Tribolium castaneum: one gene and its partner. The protein of the gene in region 2 interacts with the protein of the main gene of each other region in a biochemical or structural test. Links are inferred from orthologs where the notes say so. Each region holds a gene or a part of one and is shown on either strand. Other genes may lie near its edges.

What was found.
Region 1: the proteins of transcription elongation regulator 1 (region 2) and U2af50 form a complex in vitro, tested with the Homo sapiens proteins (2 studies listed by BioGRID). The link is inferred for Tribolium castaneum from reciprocal best matches to the Homo sapiens genes TCERG1 and U2AF2.

What each region holds. Positions count from the first base shown.
Region 1 is NC_087399.1:6,083,388-6,088,142, forward strand, and holds the start of U2af50 (splicing factor U2AF 50 kDa subunit), read left to right. Parts: upstream 1-1,440; 5' UTR 1,441-1,597; coding exon 1,598-1,613; intron 1,614-1,667; coding exon 1,668-1,806; intron 1,807-1,849; coding exon 1,850-2,259; intron 2,260-4,374; coding exon 4,375-4,535; intron 4,536-4,755. UniProt on the Homo sapiens protein: Plays a role in pre-mRNA splicing and 3'-end processing. By recruiting PRPF19 and the PRP19C/Prp19 complex/NTC/Nineteen complex to the RNA polymerase II C-terminal domain (CTD), and thereby pre-mRNA, may couple transcription to splicing.
Region 2 is NC_087397.1:11,590,877-11,595,609, reverse strand, and holds the start of transcription elongation regulator 1, read right to left. Parts: upstream 3,136-4,733; 5' UTR 3,023-3,135; coding exon 2,874-3,022; intron 2,828-2,873; coding exon 2,437-2,827; intron 716-2,436; coding exon 475-715; intron 427-474; coding exon 1-426. UniProt on the Homo sapiens protein: Transcription factor that binds RNA polymerase II and inhibits the elongation of transcripts from target promoters. Regulates transcription elongation in a TATA box-dependent manner.

The DNA.
Region 1 (4,755 bases), on a different chromosome or scaffold from region 2:
GTAATAAATAATGAAGTTACCATAAAAGCAGTCCAGTCTATACATAGTAATGCACAAGACTTCTATTAAGCTATTAAATAAAGTCAGATTTTTTTCAAGTAACTTTCTTATATATATTTGTTGTTTCTTAGGATGTCGAATTTAATTTATTGTCGAATTTACAAGTTTTTCATTGTTTTGGACATCATAAAGATATTAATTGTTATTTTTTTCAACAGCTATTTGTTTAAAAAAAAATATGATCTGAAGCACCAAAAAATTAACATAAAAAATTAACTTCGAGGAGCTATATCTCGTGAAAAAAAGCTTAAACATTTTTTTGCCATAGGAACTTTTAATTCAGTCTTTTCTCAACACTCGAGAGATTGTATGGTAGTTTTGAATCACCCTGTATTAAAACGGGGGGTACCACAGGGCAGTGTATTGGGTCCGATGCTGTTTTCGTTATATACCTTTGATCTTACTAATTATATAACTAACTGTAAAATTCACATGTATGCTAACGATATGCATTTGTATCTGACATTTCCATTCAATTATGACAAAACTATAAAGCTATATACAAAAAACACGGTGTAAATCTAAATGCAAACAACTGTCAGACGGCAATCTTTGATTGAAAATAATCAACAACTGAATTTATATAACCAAAAACTTACTAGGAAAAATTTAGTAATTTAATAGTGCTTTGATGAGCATGTACAGGCTGTTTCATATAATTTTACCATGACAGTAGTTGTCAGACTAATGACTGTTTAATGGATAGTCATATGTTTTTCACTAACAATTATCATGTGTTCTATCAAGTGACGTCATGAATATAATCCTAATTATTCCAATTTTTCAAAATTTGTAATCTAGTTCGTATTTTTAGTAGTTTAGGCATTTAGATTCATAAATAAAATTGAAACTGGTCACATCTCTAATGATGTGTGATTATTATCAAATTTTGTGCAAAAATGAAAGGGCCAATGGAAGATAGCATCTGCGAACTGTTCCCTTTTGTAAATGTATCATTATATTTAATAAAGTTTATTATTATTATTAAGTATTAATTGCCACCAGCTTGGTAACAAAGCAAAAGTTCACCGACATTTTTAGTGATACTGATAATACAAATTGTTTGTATTAATTTATCGCCGCTTTGAAAGTGTTTTTAGTCTTATTGTTACAAAATATGTTTTTCGGTTTGTTTACAATGTATGCACACACTAATCTAACAAAACGTGTTTTATTAATAGATCGATTGGTTCGGCTGAAGCCGGCCCTGTGGTAATTTTCCGAAAAACAGTCCGACTCTGTTTACGTCAATCAAGCAAAATATTTTTACCGCCGCACGACAATCGTACTTTTACAAACAATTAACAATAACAAGTTAAGCAAGACCGTAATTGTAAATAATTAATTAAATTAATCGTAATTCAAACGACACAGTTTGCGACATTACCGACAGGTACCCACAATCCCCTTGACATTAATTGACGCCATTTTGAACGTTTTGTGAGTTGTGTTAAAAACAAACCAAACATTTGAGTTAATTGACCCAAATTGTGCTTAATTTTTGTAAAATTTGACCTAATTGTGCTACTGTTCCACAATGGGGGAGGAAAAAGGTGAGTCCGGGCCCCACTTAACCGGCGAGTTTCACCCAATTCTAACCCCTCTAGACGGTAAAAACAACGAGCGGGAGCGGAGCCGGGAGCGCGGGGACCGCGAAAAGGACCGCCGACGGCGCTCCCGCTCCCGGGAGCACCGCCGGAGGTCGCGCTCCAGGTCCCGGGACCGCCGCCGGAAAAGCCGCTCAACGTGAGTATTTCGCCTTGGTTTCGTGGATTAATTGGGGGTTTAGGAGTCGCCATAAGAGCCACTCGCGGAGGCGCAAGCCCTCGCTGTACTGGGACGTGCCCCCGCCCGGGTTCGAGCACATCACCCCCTTGCAGTACAAAGCCATGCAGGCCGCGGGGCAGATCCCGGCCAACATCGTGGCGGATACGCCCCAAGCGGCTGTGCCTGTCGTCGGGTCGACTATTACGAGACAGGCGAGGCGGCTGTATGTGGGGAATATCCCCTTCGGGGTCACTGAGGAGGAGATGATGGAGTTCTTCAACCAGCAAATGCATCTCAGTGGCTTGGCGCAAGCTGCAGGGAATCCGGTGCTGGCGTGCCAGATTAATTTGGACAAGAATTTCGCCTTTTTGGAGTTTAGGTCGATTGATGAGACGACGCAAGCGATGGCTTTTGATGGGATTAATTTCAAAGGTGGGGTTGGCGTAATTAGTCCGGTCAAATAAGTCTTTATATCAAAATCTAGGGGATACAAGTATTGCAAAACGTAGTCAAAGAAGTGTTTTTTAAAGATTACTCAAATTCGGTACGAGTTAGAAAAAAAAATGTATTAAATGAAAATTATAAAGCATTTAATTTTACGCAAAAATGTTCTCTCGACTTTTTTTGATATTATTCAAATTAACAGAGCTTTGGGTGCTTAAATGTTAATGTACAATTTAAAAAAAAAACATCAAAAACACTTGATTGTTCTGTAGATTTTTCAGCTAAATTTGAATTTAGGGCACTTTGCACAAATTGTTAGATTTTATTTTAAGTTTTATGAACAAGGTCAGTAGACGTGATTTTTTTTTCGGAACCTAGTAGTAGTCAAACTGTTTGCAACCTACAATTACAGTCACATTTGTAAAATTTTAAATACGAACAGGAAAAGAAATACAAATCGATGACGGACGGGACAAAAAAAATTTCACATTTTTATTGATGAACAATCGTTATAAAATTCTGCTAATTTAAAGGCACTAATTGCAAGAATTATTTTTGAAGTAAAAGGTGGAACTTGTTGAAACTGAAACCACGAACCACGAAATTTTTTGTTTACACATAACTGTCGGCAGAAAAAAAATCTTGTGTGTGAAAATAAGTACAGAAAATTTAATCACATAGGTTTTAATTATTAAAGACTTTAACAATATCAAAGTATGTTAAATTTTATATGAGACGTTCACTCACGACAACAGCCAGTAACAAACTGAATAACATTAAATGCCGCAACAATAATCATTGTGTAAGATTATGGATAAAATGTCATCAACAAAAGTTATAATCTGTGAGATAACTAGTTGTTACAAGGTAGGAATAACGAGGTTTGTTTGATCCATTGGTTTTTGCTACTACTTTGTCACATTTTATGCTTTTGAGTAAATAATTTCAGACAAAACATTCATAATTTCGTATTCTAAAAATTAAGATAGCCACTTTTTTACGGAGAATTTAATAATAAAGACACCAGTGTTTTCTAAATTATTTATTTAAGTGTAATAATAATTAATAAGACAAATTGTATTAATACTGTGTGTACATATTTTAACTGGACACTGCAAAAAATTTAAGATTTTATTTTCAATTTTTTTAATAGTATCAGTAGAAAGTACAGCATCAACATTAAGTATTAACCGAATTGTGTATTTTGAAAGAAACTTTACTAAATTTATTTTGAAAATTTCGGTGTAGGGTTTTATTTTTGGAATGGCCGTTTAGCAAAAAAATTAAAAACCTAAAACTGGACAAATTGTGCGTTTACATCCTCATATCTTCCTTCTAAATAACGTTCTTACACAAGGCTGGGTTTTGATAAGAGAAAACTGAAAAAATGTACGTGCTGTGAAATTTTTGAGATGTGAGAAAGTTTTAATTTTTTTATTTTAAAACGCGAACCCTTACATAATCGAGATGAAAACACTTCAAATACATTTTTAGTTCAAGAATTATTTTGTTATTTGTAACACTCATCAAGTTATTGCAGTTTTCAATTACTGAAAAGTTCGAAGTGAAATCGCAGCGTATTTTCCTTTGAAACAAACATTTCGAGGGCTAATAAAAATGGAAACAAAAATTAATTAATGTCATCTCAAAAAATAGCTTGGAGTGGATTAATGTTTCGTAATTAGTTCTATTTCGTCACGTTTTTGGCTTTTTAAATAAGTTCCGGAGATATAAATGTTCTTTTGACTTCTTTAATATTAAAATTAACAATTAGGGCGGTTAAACGTAAAGTCATGATAACTGATAAGTATGTACAACTTTAATAAAGTCATGGTGAGTTGAAATTAATTTTCTAATTTTTTTAACAATAATTTTTGTAATAAAGGTATAATTTTTGTAATAATTGGTATAAATTTGGTATAAATCTAGCGGTGGACATAAAAGATTGGGACATTTAAAATTAAAAACAAAATTTTCAAATGTCTTATTTATATTTTTTTGTAAATGTGGACATATTATTAAAGAACTGTAAATAACTTATTTATTATTTGGCTTATTTGACTGGACTTATAGTGAGTGTTTGGATTGATTTTTTTTCTTCAGGTCAGAGTTTGAAAATTCGGCGTCCGCATGACTACCAACCAATGCCAGGTATGGCCGAAAGTAGTATTAGTGTTCCAGCGGGGGTTATAAGTACAGTCGTGCCGGATTCGCCCCACAAGATTTTTATCGGTGGTTTGCCGAATTATTTAAACGAAGATCAGGTAATTGAGTTTTTGCGTGTGGTTTGGTGCGAATTGGTGGTGTGGCTTATGTAATAATTAAATCTATGTTTTCTAATAATAGGAAAAAGCAGATTTAATTATTACGAGTGAGTGGAGAGTGTTTGTAATTATTTCCCTTCCCTTTTTCTTAGTTTTAGCCTCTATCGCTGGTCACTTCACGACATTACAGCAGTTCACAGTCAGTCAGTTGTTTTGTAAA
Region 2 (4,733 bases):
TTTCCAAATCCTTGAGAGCTTGCGGTTTTTCCCAAACCGATTCCCCTTTCTTGGCGTTGTAATAATAGAAGCGTCCGTCGGGTGCTTTGTGTTCGCTCCATTCGGACGCTTTGGCGATGATTTCCGGATCGACTTTAGCCAAAACCGCTGCTTCGTCAATCGCTGGGATAGCTCCTGGTAAACCTGTAAGAAGACCTGGCGGCATACCCCACGGAGCAGCCCCTGGTGGCCCCCCTGCCCATGCTGCTTGACCTGGAGCCGGCCATGTCCCTTGGAATCCTGGCGGTGGTAAGCCGAATGGAGGCGCTCCAAACTGACCTGGGGGACCCCCAAATGGGGGCATACCTGGCGGAGGACCCGCTAACATGTTTTGAGGCATTGCGTTCCCAGCTTGTTTGGCATCGCCTTTCGATTCCTCTGACTCAACTAAATTTCTCGTTAATTTTTTTGGGATAGAAATTGGATTAGAGGTACCTTCAGGTTTATTTGAAACGTTAGCCTGCGCTAACGCCGCCTGAGCTGCAGTTGACGTTCCTTGGGCTAAACCTGTGGTGGCCGCTTGTGCCATTGCTTCCACTTGATCCTGAGAGATTACTTTTACATTAGGACCTTCTGGCTTAGTCCAAGTGGTTTCTCTAGTACGAGCATTATAAAAATATGACTTGCCTTCTGAGGTTTTAGTCTCTACCCAAATTTCACTATTTGCATCTAACCCCTGCAAAAAACAATTACAATTGAATTCTTGTAGTCGAACTTCGATAAATAATAAATTATTATTTACAAAGTGGTAAAACATACGAAAGAGGAAAAATAATATCGAGGCTATAAAATTAAATAAAATAATTAATTTAGTCATTTTTCAGCACGGTGCAGCAAACTCACAAGAAAAAAACTAAATATGTAACTCAAAAATGTATTTGAAAGTGTGAAAAAATAACTCAATTTTTGGTTCCATTTAGTGCTTATTCGGCTTGCGAAGTAATTCCGCTTATAGCTAAAAAAAGATAAAACGCTCCAAAAGGCAAAAATAATGTAATTTGGCGATTTTTCTGTATGTATTAATGACATCTCGCAAAAAAACGGTGAGATTTTGATTCAAATACCAGCTTAAAGGTCTTAAAAGTTTGGAAAGGTAAAATTTTTTCTACTTTGGTTTCACAAATTATTCATTGTGAAACTGAAAGTATCATGTGTTCATTATTAAGAAAACTCTCCGAATGGCCTGATATTTCCTACTACACGAGTTCACCAAAATTCATAACATCATAACCTATGAGTGATAAATAGTGTTCAAAGGCCATGTGTTACGTGTGTTAAACAACAAAAAAAAACATTTCCAAAAGTTTTTATAAATAATAAATAAATATCTTTATGAAAATCTGTTATCTTTTTAACTGCCAAAAAGTAAAGTTATAAAAGAACGAATTAATCACAAACATTTGTAATCAATTGTTTTTTATTTTCAAAGCACTTCTTAAATGAACGCTTGTTAGTTTTACAAAGAGAACTTTTGTACAACTCCTTTTAGTAAATTTGTAGTTATATTGACAGTTCTGCGCTGGGTGTCATCAGTCATCACTGTAATTTAGTGTGATCTATCAACAACGTCAAGCCGTTTATTGAAAAAGAACAATTAACAAAATTAAGAGAAAATAGTTTGAACAGATTTTGATAAGTTAAACTAAACAGAAACAAACAAAAATAGAAAATAGTATATTACACTCGTTTTATAAGACTTAATTGTGACACTCATTCTATTGGAGCACTGCTTCGTCGTGCTCCAAAACCATTCGTGCCGCAATAGAACGTCTTATAAAACTCGTATAATAATATATTGTTTCAATCCTATTTTACCTTTTTTTTTTTTGGTTTGTTCATAAACGTGTTAATCGAGTAATACAAGTCAAAATAATGTCAGTTTGGATTTGAAATGTTGATCAGCCAATTTTTCGAAAAAAATATGTATCGAAGTGACAAACAAACGTGCTTCAGCACACGGAAAAAGCAAAAATTATGTTATTTTTACATAAAGATGAACTACGGATAATCAGGATATTCCGAAGAATCAAATCTCCGATCGTCCGATGAACTCTCGATGGGTTAAACTACGAAATAAATTATATTCTACTTTATTTTTGGTGACATGTTTTCCGCAAAATTTAATGTTATATCAGGTCTATTTTAAGAAAGTGTTTATCTTTATTGAAAATGTTTGGAAAAGTCTAGTTTAATTCTTTATTTGATTAAGATTTAGTAATAATTCGATATTTCCCGGGAATACCTAGACTTTAAATCAAGAAAAACAAAGTGTAGGCAATAGAAACCCTACGTGAAATTCTTATCTGTATTTATTATTTGATAACTCGAACAGATAAACTTGAAAAATTCGAATTCCAAAAAGATGGTAATTCGCAAAATCTCGTCGAAAAAACTTACTGTTGTGGGATTTTGCCCTACTGGTGGAAACTGCCCATTGGTCGTCCCGCCCTGAGCGCCCATGGGTCCACCCGGGGGCGCCCCCATCATGCCCGGTGGTCCGAACGGCGGTCCATTGGGTCCCATCATATTGGGCGGTCCACCCATCGTCCCCGGGGGCCCCATCGGTCCTCCCCAGTTAGGCCCATTAAAATTCGGAGGTCCATTGAATCCCTGCCCTGGTGGTGGGTTTCTGGGAGGTCCCCCACGTCCAAACATCGGAGGAGGTGGTCCTCCACGTCCACGAAACGGAGGAGGGCCACCGGGCCCAAATCCCCTTCCTCGAAACCGGGGACCTTCTCCACGCGGTCCTGGCGGACCTGGAGGACCCGGCCACGCGCGTCCGCGGCCCCTGTAATCACACCGTTAGGAAGTGTGGCGGTTTAAAACTTGAATACCTGAACCCTGAAGGTCCTCGGCCTCGCATTTGGAAGTCATCTCCGAGTTCAATGTCGTTTTCGAAGCCTCCGTCCTCTTCGTATTCCTCTTGGGCGACGCCGTCGACGTCGGCGCCGTCGTATTCCATGGAGACGTCTGTTTCTTCCATTGTGTTTTATTTAATTTCAATCGATTTAGCCATTTAGAGTCAATTAAGATTTATTTTTCGGAAAATGGCGTCAACAAATGCACTTCTTCGGTTTATGACGTTAATGCGCATGCGCGTTTTTTGTTTGTTGATTCCCAGATACCAACCACAAGCGACAAATTTTCCCCAAAAGTCGCGCGAAATTAGGTTTGAATTTTTTGGATGATTTCTACATAAATTTTCTTTTAAAAACAATAATTAAAACAACAAATTTTAAAACATAACACTGCCCACCGACTGTTCCGCATAATTTATTTAAACGCCTTAAAAAAATAAAACATTTTCGCCAACAAAGAAATACCACAAATGATCATTTCATACAGGCTGATTCTTTAAATTTTCAAATAGTAACCACCTATTTTTATTGCATTTTTGAATTAGTAAAATATACCCTAGTTGTTAGTATTAGCTGTTTCAAAACTATAAACGCCAACGTCGCATTTTTTACCGAATTATTTTTTTAAATGAGATTGATAAAATTGTAAAATAGTAAAACAGTAAAATAAAATTATTAGATCTCTTATTGAAACTATAAATTACATTATCTATCAATTTTTTGAAGTGCATAAATAATTTAAAAAATGATTATAAAACAGTCTTCTACAGCGTGCTCAAAAACTGACGCACCAACTCAATGGTGTGTGGCAGAGAAGTGGTTACATATAAAGGTAAAAATAGTAAAAAAATTCTTTGTATTAAAGTTATTGATAAATAACTAATTTTAGGTAAATGATATGTGGCAACGTTGTCTAATAGTCATGATCGCAATAGAATTTGAGCAACAATAAAAATAAATTATTTTTGAAACGGTTTCCTAGGAAATAATTCCCAGTATTGGCACATCTACACATTGTGATTTTTTGGATGAATTTTAGTTTTTTTAAATTTAAAAAACTGCTAAAATCTGATAGTAAATTTTAAAATAATTGTTCATCGTTTTGTTACGGAACGATTACCTGGTATGAAACATAATAATATAAAAAAATAATGAAAACTAAAGAAGTTAACACAATAGGTTTGTAGCTTCAGATTTTTTAAAATACGACTTTAGGAATTTTTTCAACATTTTTCCCGTAATCTGCACTTGCTTCTCAATAACGTACCACTGAGTTGGTGCGCCAGTTTTTGAGCACCCTGTATATCTATCTCTTACAGATTTTGGAATAATCGCAAGAAATTGAATTTTACCTAATTATTTTCATTTTTAATCAACTAAACTTTCGAAAAATATGATAAAATTGTGCTATTAATTAAAAAAAAATTCTATTTGATCACCGTTTTCATTCAAGAAGTTCAAAATTCGATGGCAGACTGAATGAGTTACTTTACATAAATTATGATAATAAACCATAATTAAATATTAATATTTTACTGCTTATTAGATAATTAATAAATCAGTCAAAAAATTAAATAAAATGTTCAAGTTGACAATTGTTGACGAATTTGCAAGGTCTACTTGATTACTATAAAAATTACGAAGTAAAATCCGTTTCTTGTGAGTTTTTTCAAAAACTGTAAGAGATAATAAGTATAGAATGTATTGATAAAAGTCACCATAAATATTGATGTTCTTTCGATTGCCGTTAAGAAAATAGGGTCGTTCCATTTAAAAAGTGCGTTATAGCAGTATTTTGAAAACCATTTTGAAAAAAACATACTAGCCATAAATTTA